2 linked regions of the Arabidopsis thaliana genome follow. The protein of the gene in region 1 interacts with the protein of each later gene in a pairwise test. Each region holds a gene or a part of one and is shown in the gene's direction. Other genes may lie near its edges.

Region 1 (5,144 bases):
TTTTCTCAATGCTGATCATATAATCTGTTTTGATTTCACAAGTGAGAGGTTTGGTCCGCTTCTGCTTTTGCCGTTTAGTGATTTGGATGGTGTTGTTACTCTAGCTTGTGTTAGAGAGGAGAAGCTTGCGGCTTTAGTTTGTCACGAGGATGTTGTTGAGGTTTGGATTACGATTAAGATTGAGGCCAATGAGGTATTGTGGAGCAAGTTCTTGACAGTGAATGTTGATTTGGGTGATGAGATTCCGAGTTCACTGACATATGGTAGTTTTTTCATCGACGAGGAGAAGAAAGTTGCTATGATTTTTGATAAAACTTTGGATCGCGGCGACACAGTTCACATCATGGGAGAGGCTGGATATGGTGGACAAGTTGATCTCGGAGAACCGGTTAATAAAAGACGTTGCCCACTTGTGTGCTCTTATGTTCCGAGTTTAGTGCAAATCAAGAAACCTGCAGGATTCCAAAGGAAACAGCAAAGCAAGTTAGAAAAGCGTCAATATGTTCGAAACATATCGAAACTTCGCGCACTTAAAACCCAAAGTTCTTGGACATTAAGTATGTCACTTGAATGTCATCAACAGTAAGATTTATGTTTCTTGGCTCGTACTTCGATTTATTACTGCTATGTTTTAGACTGATACTTTACTAAATATTACATGGCTTCATCAGGAGCTTGGTAGAGTGAGAAAGCATTGCCAGCCGATTTTTGCCCGTATAGCTCCGTCTCAGTTTGTTTCGGGCCATTGTTGAAAGGACTTCCTGTGCGCTTTTTTGTCGATCAATAGTTTAGACCGCTCTTTTTTGTTGCCACTTTCTTGCTTAGGGGAGTCTTTAGATCGAGTTTTCTTCATCTTCTTACTAAGAGCCTCATCGCTTAAGGTTTAGTTGATGCGATGAATCTCGAAAGGATTATGCTTCCATGTTTTTTTCCTTTTTTTGGCATGGGACCATGTTTGTAGGTTTTGCTTCTTGTAACTCCTAAACTTTCATTTTATATGATATTTACATTCTTATCAAAAAAAAAAATATATATATTACATGGCTTCATGCTAAAGGACATGATATTAATCAGATTTTTAAAATTTAAAGATGGTGGAACCTCAGGTTTTCGATAATATAATTTAGAGATAGCTTCTGTTATCTGGCCTAGTCTCTACAAAGTTTTTAAAACCGAACCAGCGACTCGACTAGATGGCATTGTCGATATATCTATCTAGCAGAATTTCAGTAGCAGAGTCTTTTTAGTGAGAGGGTCAGGTGCATTATCAGTCCTTGGAAACATCAAAGACAAGAGCAAGTTGTTCATGCTCAAACTAAAAGATTACCATCCACCATTTTGGGATATATATTCAACTTCTTACTCTTTGACATCTTGGAAGTCTTCCACATCCTCTTCTTCTTAGGTCGTTATCTTCATAAACATCTTCTTCAGTCAAATCTGCCTCACCTTCTGAGTAGCAAATATTTTAAACCAGACCATTTGTACTTCTGACTATTCTTCTGTCCGATATGTATCTCTTTAGAAGATCTTGGTGCATAATGGCCTAATGGGGATCATCATTAATTAGGAAATAAAAATCAATTCTTATATGTGCTGAGAAAAAAAAAAAAAAGCTTTGAAGTTAAAACTAGAAATAATAAAACATATTGGATTAAAGATAATTAATGTGGATCCATGGAATGATCGATCATGACGAGAAATAAAATATTATGGGGAATATATAAAGAAAGAAAAATGTGCAAGATGATTAGTATGAAAATAACATTCCCTTAGTTTCACAATATAAGTGTTTTGGAGAAATTTTTGTTTCGAATGTTTTCAAAATTTTATGCAAATTATAGATTTTTTTATTTTTATAATTATATATATATATTATATGGTCTATTTTATGATTGGTTAACTTTTTAAAAAAATAAACATGAGTTATTGAGGTTTCAAGAAGAAAGTTTTATGTTTATGGCCATCAAGACTGAAATAATGTTTTGTTTTTCTTATTTCCGTCGACTTTCGTCTTTTTCAAAATCGCAACTTTTATATATATTTTTTTCTCTCGCCTTTCGATCATCGGAAAAGCTCTTTTTCAAGTCTCCCCAACTCATAACTTTGAATTTTCTATTTGCCCCCTCATAAAATTTGCTTCTATTCTCTTTGTTTGTTGGAGTTCTCAAGATCTGTTTGATTCTGAATCCTTGTAATTTTTGTATCCAACCAGTAACAAATGGGGTTTTGTGAAGGTTTATGAGTTTCCCATATTCAAATGGCGATCTTTTAGTCTGAGTAAAATTGTGGTTCTTATCTGTTTTTGTTAAAGTTTCGATTTTTATTTTGAGGGTTGAATTCGAGAAATTTTGATGGAAGCGGGTAGCTCCAATTCGTCGGGTCAGCTATCCGGGCGGGTCGTTGATACAAGAGGCAAACACAGGATTCAAGCTGAACTCAAAAGGCTTGAACAAGAAGCTCGATTCTTAGAGGTATTTTACTCTCCTCTTAATCTTAAACCCTTTCTTGTTTCGACGTGCTTGGGCCTTTTGGCTGATTATATCATATAATTACAGATTGGATCAATCTGTTGTTTTTGTGCTTCGGCTCTTTTTGGATGGAATAGTATAAATCTGAGTGGAGTACGGTAGAGACTTTCAAAGTTTGAAACTTTTTTAGTTTTGGGAATCAATTTGATTTAGGGGTTTTTGTTGTTGTTGGTATTCAATGAGTGAAAAAAAAAAAACAGGTTTTGTTGTAGCAGTTGGTATTGTGGGGTTGCTTTTAGTGAGTTAATAGTACTTGTCTCTTGATATAGTTCCTTTTTATATGCTTAACAAGATTGGATCTTAGATTAATGGAATCGATCTGACTTTAAGAAATGTAGTGTAGAACTGTCTCCTTTTAAAGAGATTTTTGTGATGCTAAATGTTACTTGAGTGAGAGAGTAGATCCTTTGCGAACAATATGCTTCTGTTGATAAAACAAATCACCAGGGTCAGTAATTAGGAAGGTTCAAGAATGGTGAGGAGTGAAACTGAAATGTAGTTTAAGCTCTTGAGCATATTTCATTCAGGTGTAATAATATCTTGACTCTTGATCCCTTGAGGTTTAAGCTCTTGTCTACGTAGCTGTTATGACATTTGTGAACTCAAATGCTTGCTTAAAAGCGTTACAAGGTTTTAACTTTCTTCCTTCATTTATTATATTCAGGAAGAGCTGGAGCAGCTTGAGAAGATGGACAATGCATCAGCATCCTGCAAAGAGTAAGAACTTGTTACATAACTGATATCCGGTTCACGAATAATCATTCCACAAGCTTGACTAGTTTCTCGAATGGATGCAGGTTCTTAGACAGTGTTGACAGCAAACCCGATCCTCTTCTTCCCGAGTAATTCTTCTTCTGTTTTCTGATAGTTTCATTTCAATAGACTGTGAGATGATTAGGTCTGATATGTTTGCTTTTGTGACTACTTGCAGAACAACAGGTCCGGTGAATGCGACATGGGATCAATGGTTCGAAGGCCCTAAAGAAGCAAAACGATGTGGCTGCTCCATTCTTTGATCTTCCTTTCCTTCTCTCAAAATATTTTTGTCTCTACTTCTTCCAGAAGAGTGAGTTTGTGTTTTTACGTTCCCGCGGCAGTGAATTTGATGTAATTGGCAAAAAAAAAAATTGATTCATTTGTGCAGTAAAAAATCTATTGATCTTGATGTGTCTCTTAATTTAAGAAGACCACAGTGCCAAATTCACGCCACCACAAGAAAATCTAGCACAGTGGCCGTCGGTGATCCCCACACCAATGCATCTCAGTTCCAGATTGTCTTGGAAAAGTTCTCGTTTCTCGATGGTTTACATGTCGTGTTCGGGCAAGTTGTTGAAGGACTCGACGTGCTCAGGAGCATTGAAGACGAGGTTGGAACTTTGAACAGGATTCCTTCCAAGCCGGTGGTTATCGCAGACTGTGGTGAGCTCTGAGAGAGGCTACAATGGTGTCTTGTCTTGTTTTAATGGTTGCTCTGTTTTTGTTTTTAGTTCGTTTGGATTTTGAGTTTGGTGGTAGTTTTAAATCTGAAACAAAACAAGATTTTTTTCTTCCATATATGAAAATTCTGGACACAGTTTCAATGAGAGCAACCAAAATAGTTGAAGCTTGTTACATAAAAGTCAAGAGGATACAATGTTAAAGAACATATGAAGGAGACAAAAGAAACAAAGAAGAATAGTACGTACTCTCTCTGATTCAGTTCTGGTTTCCCCTTAACTCGTGGCTTTACCGGTAACTTTTTGGGCAATCCAACCGAGCCCATCATACAATCCTTCTCCAGTAACCGCACAACTTGCTTGAATATGCCAATCATGGTTCTTGATACTGTGAAGGTTAAGTGCATCCGTGATCTCAGCAGGAGTCATTGCGTCTTTCAGATCCTGTTTGTTTGCAAAAACTAGTATGACCGAGTTTTGAAGATCCTCATGACCAAGTAACCTGGCTAGCTCATCTTTCATGAAAGAGATTCTGGCTCTGTCTGTGCTATCTATAACCACAATCACAGCATGTGTTCCACGATAGTATGTTGCCCATGAAGTTCTTAGCCTATCTTGCCCACCAAGATCCCATACCTAAAGACAACATATCATAAAAGTAAACATCGCCTCAAATATTCGATTGCCAGTGTCCAACAGTTAGTTTTTGACAGGAAACAATTCAAACTTTAGTAAGTTTAGTTACGTTTATATTCATCATTGAGTTTTGACATATAAGAACACATGCAGATTGTCATAAAACAGAGATGAATTCATCTCAGGCCATGACTTTGACCACTGTATAAAGATGTTCCAAACAGTCCTCTGGCAAAAAAACTAAGCTAATGGGAAATAGCAAACAGTTCCTCCGGTATAACAAACAAGCTAGATAAACAACATCTACAAAAATTTACTATACAAAACCATAAATCGCACATACGAAAACGTTCATTATGAGTTTCTGACACCTTCTCAACCAATCATGACAAGAACTTAGACAAAAACATCATCCATTTTTCAACGAGAAAAATGCACACACCCAAGCAAGAAACATAGCTAGGGACAATAACACAATCAAAAGATGGCAATGGCAAATTTAAGAAACATCCATAAAGTTTCAAACTTCTAAAACACGTCC
Region 2 (6,786 bases), on another chromosome or scaffold:
GAAGGTTCTCCTTGCGTAATGTCGCCTTGGGCCCGCGTGTCGCCTCCTTGGGGTGCAGATTTCAACGAAGACAATGTCCTCGAGACCAACGGTCTCATTGGATCTATTGTTAGAAAAGAAGGGCATATATACTCGCTAGCCGCTTCTGGTGACCTTCTCTACACGGGCTCGGATTCGAAGAACATTAGGGTTTGGAAGAATTTGAAGGAACACGCTGGGTTTAAATCCAGTAGTGGGCTAATCAAGGCCATTGTGATATTCGGAGACCGAATCTTTACCGGCCATCAAGACGGGAAGATCCGGATTTGGAAGGTTTCGAAGAGAAAACCAGGAAAACATAAGCGGGTTGGAACATTGCCAACATTTAAATCAATGGTCAAGAGCTCCGTCAACCCTAAGCATTTCATGGAGGTACGCCGCAACAGAAACTCTGTGAAGACGAAGCATAACGACGCAGTGTCTAGTCTTAGCTTGGACGTGGAGCTTGGATTGTTGTACTCGAGTTCTTGGGACACGACAATCAAAGTGTGGAGAATCGCGGATTCAAAATGTTTGGAATCGATACATGCACACGATGACGCGATAAACTCTGTAATGTCCGGTTTTGATGACTTGGTGTTCACGGGATCCGCAGATGGTACTGTTAAAGTGTGGAAACGTGAGTTGCAAGGCAAAGGAACAAAACATACGTTAGCTCAAGTTTTGCTCAAGCAAGAAAATGCGGTCACGGCGTTGGCCGTAAAATCACAATCTTCCATCGTATATTGCGGTTCTTCGGACGGGCTAGTGAACTATTGGGAGCGTTCAAAGCGGTCATTCACAGGCGGAATACTCAAAGGCCACAAATCCGCAGTGCTTTGTCTAGGTATAGCGGGGAACTTGCTGTTGAGTGGTTCCGCCGACAAGAACATATGCGTATGGAGGCGGGACCCGTCTGACAAGTCCCATCAGTGTCTCTCTGTTTTGACGGGACACATGGGGCCGGTCAAGTGCCTAGCCGTGGAGGAGGAACGGGCTTGTCATCAGGGAGCAAAAGCCTCAGTGGCCGAGGGAGACCGGAAGTGGATTATATACAGCGGAAGTTTGGACAAGTCGGTGAAAGTGTGGCGCGTGTCGGAGAGAATGGCCACGTGGAAGGAGATGGACGAGCCAGCAGCATCTTCAGAGCGGAAGAGCTCTTCGTCTCCGCATGAAGGAAGTGGCGCGTGGAGTTCACGCAATGTGGAAAAATAAGAGTGGAGGAGCATAGTGTGATTATTTACGAGAGTGTCACGTCGTCACGAGAGCCATATTCACGCCGGGAAAGAGACAGAGGATTGATTTCATTTTTATGACTAAGTCAACGGAGAGGTTTGTGCCACGCTAGCTGGTGTGAGAATCAAAGTCGGGTTAATGGTTTTCACGTAATGAGTTTTTTGGTTATTTTTTTCTTTAAAAAAAATGTTTGAAACGAAATTGAATTATTTATTTATTTTCCATAAATTTGTAAGATAACAAGAACAAAGACCGAATCAAACATATATATTTGTTTTCTTTAGTGGTCTATGTCGTGGTTGCAACTTTATAACTTGGAATTTTGGATGAGTCGTTTTCCTCTTCATTAGAATTAGTCTTTCTATATTATTATAATATAGGATGTTGATATTTTTTAATTGATTTTCCAACCTGGAAATATCCACCCAAAGTTGTTAGAAATTACTAATCTTTGTGAATTTACTGTTACCATTTAAACCTAATCTATCTTTATGAGCAAAAAAAAAAAAGTCTTATTCAATCACTTAACCGAAAACATTTCCACAACCGGGATCATCATATATGTCTCTGCGCCTCTCTTTGATAAATACTTAAATAGGGTCAACACCTCCGGTTTTCTATTAACCGTGTAATTCGGGTTATGCGAACATTATTGCAGGACCGAAGATATATTTACGAAATTGCCCTCTCTCTTTGACTCCATCAACGCCTTTCGCAACGCATCGTTTTCAACTCCCCTAACCCGCGTTGACGGCAAGAATTTTCCCGGAAAATAACTCATTTTTCCTTTTGATTGCAGAGAAAATAAAAAACAAAGAGAAAGTCTTCCCCTTTTTTTGTCAAGTCCTCGTCTTTTACTAGTGTATACGATCCAACCCATCTTTCTGTCTTTCTTCTTTTTGTTTACTTCTTCTGCAAATTCCCTTTTCCCGGAAAATTTATTTGCTGATTTTTCTTCCTTCCATCGCCACTTTCCTGGAAAAAAAAACTAAATTTCGTCTCTTTCTTTAAGCTAAAGGAGCTTTCTGTGATCAATTTTTTCTATATTTCTGTAGTTGCGTTCTTATTTCACGCGCTTTGTGATTTGATTATTTAAGCCACTAATGGCTTAGGATCTGTATATTATCACTTCATGAATTCTCGTTTTCTCGGATAAGTTGTTAAGTTTCTAAATTAGGGAATTTTAGGAATTAGGGCTTTTTTGGGTTTGTATGTGTGCTTGATTGGGTAAGAAGATGGCTGCAGTTATAAGAAAGTTATTACCTTTCCCATCACCGAATCCTAAAAGGGATAATCGAGAAAGTGACGATGATGATGAAACAAGTAGTGGCTATCGAATCGAATATTCATTCGCCAGTGAGTATAAAGGTCCTCTTATTGCTAATGTGCCACGAGCTCTTCCCGTTGAAGTTGATCAGATTCCTACGGCTCTTCCCGTTTCCTTTTCTTCCTTGCGGAGTGGTATCTCTTACCCAGTGGCACCTCTCGTTATGACTAAGGATACCAAGAGACCACCTGATTCTGGAATAGAGAAGAAGAACGGTTTCGTTGACTCTGCAGCTGGTTCTAGTGTGGTTTTGATAGGGCGTGATGTTGTTTCTGGCTCATCATCATCATCATCATCAAAGAGGTTGGATGTACCAGAAGAAGTGAAAAGTCCTGCTGATTTTCGGTTATCACCATCATCACCATTGTCTGCATCAGCGAGAGAGGAGGATCACTTAGATGATGACAGAGTTTCGGATGTGGGACCTAGAGCAGTGAGATTCGTTGAACCTTTTCAGAGTAGTGAATGTGATGAGAGCTCCTATGTTTCTGATGGAGAAAGTATAGCTGCAACGCATAGAGCTGAAAGGAAAGGTAAAAGAGGATCGTGTTACCGGTGCCAGTTGGGGAACCGGTTTACTGAGAAGGAAGTCTGTATTGTCTGCGATGCCAAATACTGTTTCAACTGTGTGCGCAGAGCCATGGGTGCGATGCCCGAAGGAAGAAAGTGTCAAGCTTGCATTGGTTATAGGATTGATGAGTCCAAGAGAGCAAGTCTCGGAAAGTGTTCAAGAATGCTCAAGCGCCATCTCACGGATTCTGAACTTCGACAAGTCATGAATGCCGAGATCACCTGCAAGGCGAATCAATTGCCTTCACGACTTATCATTGTCAATGACAAGCCTTTAAGTGAAGATGAGCTTTACACGTTGCAGACATGTCCAAATCCACCCAAGAAGCTAAAACCCGGACACTATTGGTATGATAAGGTTGCTGGCTACTGGGGAAAGGTACAGTTTCTTATATATGTCTGCGTATCTATTATCGGGATTGTATTTTGAGTGCTCAGCTAAATCAGAGCCTCTATGTGTTTATTTAATCAGATAGGAGAGAAACCTAGTCAGATTATAAGTCCTAACAACAGCATAGGAGGATACATCAGTGAGAAAGTAAGCAATGGAGACACTGAAATTTATATTAATGGCCGGGAAATAACCAAGCCAGAGCTCACGATGCTCAAGGTTCTTTTGCTTTTCACCTTTGTTTTGGATAACAAATATGCTTAGTGTATGTGTCATTGTTCTGAACTGAGCGCTTCTTTGCTTTGATGTAGTGGGCGGGGGTGCAATGTGAAGGAAAACCTCATTTTTGGGTCGATTCAGATGGTTCTTACCGAGAAGAAGGTCAAAAGCATCCCATCGGGAACATCTGGAGTAAGGTATGGTTTCCTGATCACCAGCTTTTCTCGTTCACAACATTAAATATAAAACTAAAGACAACGAAGGATATTATTTTTACAGAAGAGAGCAAAAATTGCTTGCGCTGTGTTCTCTCTGCCAGTTCCTCCGGCTTCGTCTGCAGTAGAACCATATGATGTGCCCTTATATGAGCAGAAGATGCTTAACAAGCTTCTTTTGATTGGTAGCGAAAAAGGTGGCGCCACTACAATTTACAAACAAGTGAGCTATTCATCTTAATGCCTCCCACTTGAATGTTTCACATCTAGTAAAGAATCGGGAATTGACTTCTTCTGTTTCAGGCAAGGTCTCTCTACAACGTCTCATTCTCTTTAGAAGACCGTGAAAGAATCAAATTCATAATCCAAACAAATCTCTATACCTATCTGGCAATGGTTCTTGAGGCACATGAAAGATTTGAAAAAGAGATGAGCAATGACCAGTCTTCAGGTAATTATTATTGACTGTACAAACTATTAGAATAAGAATGCATTCATATTCTAATACAAACATCAGTTAACAATTGATTATTGAGGAAGACTGATCGAGTTCTTGGGATTTAGGCAATGTGGGAGATGAAACCAGTGCAAAACCAGGTAACTCGATCAACCCGAGACTAAAACATTTTTCAGATTGGGTTTTGAAAGAAAAGGAAGACGGAAACCTGAAGATATTTCCACCATCAAGCCGTGAGAATGCTCAAACCGTTGCAGATCTCTGGAGAGTACCAGCTATTCAAGCCACCTACAAAAGACTTCGCGATACACTTCCCAGGAACGCCGTTTATTTTCTTGAAAGAGTAAGTTTACATCAAGTTGCCTGCTTGCATATATAAACGCTCTTTCAGGACCTTAACACTTTTGTTTAAGGGGAAAAAGATGACTGACCCAAATTTGTTTCTTCTCAGATTCTTGAGATCTCGAGATCAGAATACGATCCTTCTGATATGGACATATTGCAAGCGGAAGGACTCTCCTCTATGGAAGGACTTTCTTGTGTGGACTTCTCATTCCCATCAACTTCTCAAGAAGAGTCTCTTGAGAGCGATTATCAACATGATACAGACATGAAGTTAGTTCTGTTCTTTTTCCTTGTGTTGCATTCCGGCTATATGAAAAACCGTTGAACTTACCCTCTCTCTCTCTCTCTCTCTCTCTCTCTCTCTCTCTCTCTCTTTAGGTACCAACTCATCCGGCTAAATCCGAGAAGCCTTGGTGAAAACTGGAAATTGCTGGAAATGTTTGAAGACGCTGACTTGGTGATATTTTGTGTCTCACTAACAGACTATGCAGAAAACATAGAAGACGGTGAGGGGAATATTGTGAACAAGATGCTTGCAACCAAACAGCTTTTCGAGAACATGGTGACTCACCCGAGCCTAGCTAACAAAAGGTTTCTTTTGGTTCTAACCAAATTTGATCTCCTAGAAGAAAAGATCGAAGAGGTTCCTCTAAGAACCTGTGAGTGGTTTGAAGACTTCAACCCATTGATCAGCCAGAACCAGACGAGCAGACACAACCCTCCAATGGCTCAGCGTGCTTTCCATTACATTGGATATAAGTTCAAGAGACTCTATGACTCAATCTTGGAACCCGTAAATATGCGTGGAAGGAGCTTTAAGCCAAAATTGTTTGTTTGTCAAGTGAGCTTGGAGAGTGATACTGTGGACAATGCACTGAGGTATGCGAGAGAGATTCTCAAGTGGCATGTTGAAGAAACTTCCATGTTCCAAGAGATGTCTACTACTAGCATAGAGGCCAGCTCGTCCTCTTGATATTTTTTCCTAAAATTCTTTCTTTCTTTGTGGAAATTACATAAGTTTGTTTCTCTCTCTGTGTGTATGTTTGTTGTATATGTAGTAGTGTGAAGATACATTCATGTGATTGATTTTTCAGGGGAAAAAAAATAGAGAAATAATAAAGTGAATTTTCCCGGTTTAACAGACATTTACTTATACGGTTATTGAGGTTGAACTGGACCGGAGTAGCAATAAATTATCGGTTCAGTTTGGGAGATCAAACCGTTTAAAAGAAAATAATTTGAAATGGCCACGCAGAATACGAGGGTCTGAGGATTGTACCTCCTTTCTCTGCAAAAACTTAAACGTTGATTTGACTCAAGCGTCAAGGTAAGGTACTCTCTCTTCATACAACATTTTAGCTTTACTTTTTCTCTTTACTCTTCTCTCTCTCTTTCTCTTTCTCTTTCTCTTTCACTCGTTCTCTCTCACTCACTCTCTTCACACACAGATCCAAGATGGCCTCTTCAATGGCTAGCAATGATTTCCAGCTCCCTCCACGTTTCTTCACTGTTTTCGTCTCCCATTTCAGCTCAGAGTTCATGGTAAGATTTTCTCTCGAGGTTTCTTCTTTCAGGTTTATCTGTTCATGAGCAAACGATTCTTGAACTGGGTAGATTCTCTTAGCCTAGTGGTTTCTTTGAACTATGTCTGATGGTTTTTATGAAACAAACACTGTGTTTATCTGCATTTAGCTTCCTCTATAGATTTTGCTTTTTCTGTTTCTAGGGTTTTGCTCTTATTCCTACCCTTTGGTTTCCTTTTTCTGACTAAAGATTTAAACTTTCTGTATGAATCAGCTTAATTTATGGACTTAACACTGGATATGTTTGGTTACTGGAACTAAATTTCATCAAAGTATAAAGTAGTTTTGCTCAGATTTTGTTTTCTTTTTCTGTTGATGAATAGAAACATTTGTTCTGCTTCTAAATGCTGAAAGATATAAAATTTTGAGACTGGATGCTTTGATTTTGTCTGGTTCTGGAAAGTTGACTCTTTTAACTGTCCCTA

Evidence for each region. Proteins that work in one complex are often made in the same cells at the same time.
Region 2: the proteins of AGG2 (region 1) and XLG2 come close enough for resonance energy transfer, tested with the Arabidopsis thaliana proteins (one study listed by BioGRID).

Annotation. Positions count from the first base shown.
Region 1 is NC_003074.8:8,132,121-8,137,264, forward strand, and holds AGG2 (G-protein gamma subunit 2), read left to right. Parts: upstream 1-1,956; 5' UTR 1,957-2,354; coding exon 2,355-2,474; intron 2,475-3,195; coding exon 3,196-3,248; intron 3,249-3,328; coding exon 3,329-3,373; intron 3,374-3,462; coding exon 3,463-3,547; 3' UTR 3,548-4,084; downstream 4,085-5,144. Other genes in the region: AT3G22940 (F-box associated ubiquitination effector family protein), read left to right, coding at 1-586; ARFC1 (ADP-ribosylation factor C1), read right to left, coding at 4,244-4,603. UniProt on the Arabidopsis thaliana protein: Guanine nucleotide-binding proteins (G proteins) are involved as a modulator or transducer in various transmembrane signaling systems.
Region 2 is NC_003075.7:16,439,090-16,445,875, forward strand, and holds XLG2 (extra-large GTP-binding protein 2), read left to right. Parts: upstream 1-1,996; 5' UTR 1,997-2,489; coding exon 2,490-3,530; intron 3,531-3,623; coding exon 3,624-3,761; intron 3,762-3,853; coding exon 3,854-3,958; intron 3,959-4,040; coding exon 4,041-4,199; intron 4,200-4,279; coding exon 4,280-4,427; intron 4,428-4,540; coding exon 4,541-4,776; intron 4,777-4,884; coding exon 4,885-5,048; intron 5,049-5,156; coding exon 5,157-5,751; 3' UTR 5,752-5,917; downstream 5,918-6,786. Other genes in the region: AT4G34380 (Transducin/WD40 repeat-like superfamily protein), read left to right, coding at 1-1,233; AT4G34400 (AP2/B3-like transcriptional factor family protein), read left to right, coding at 6,234-6,320. UniProt on the Arabidopsis thaliana protein: Guanine nucleotide-binding proteins (G proteins) are involved as modulators or transducers in various transmembrane signaling systems. Binds GTP with specificity. Plays a role in the root morphogenesis by regulation of the cell proliferation.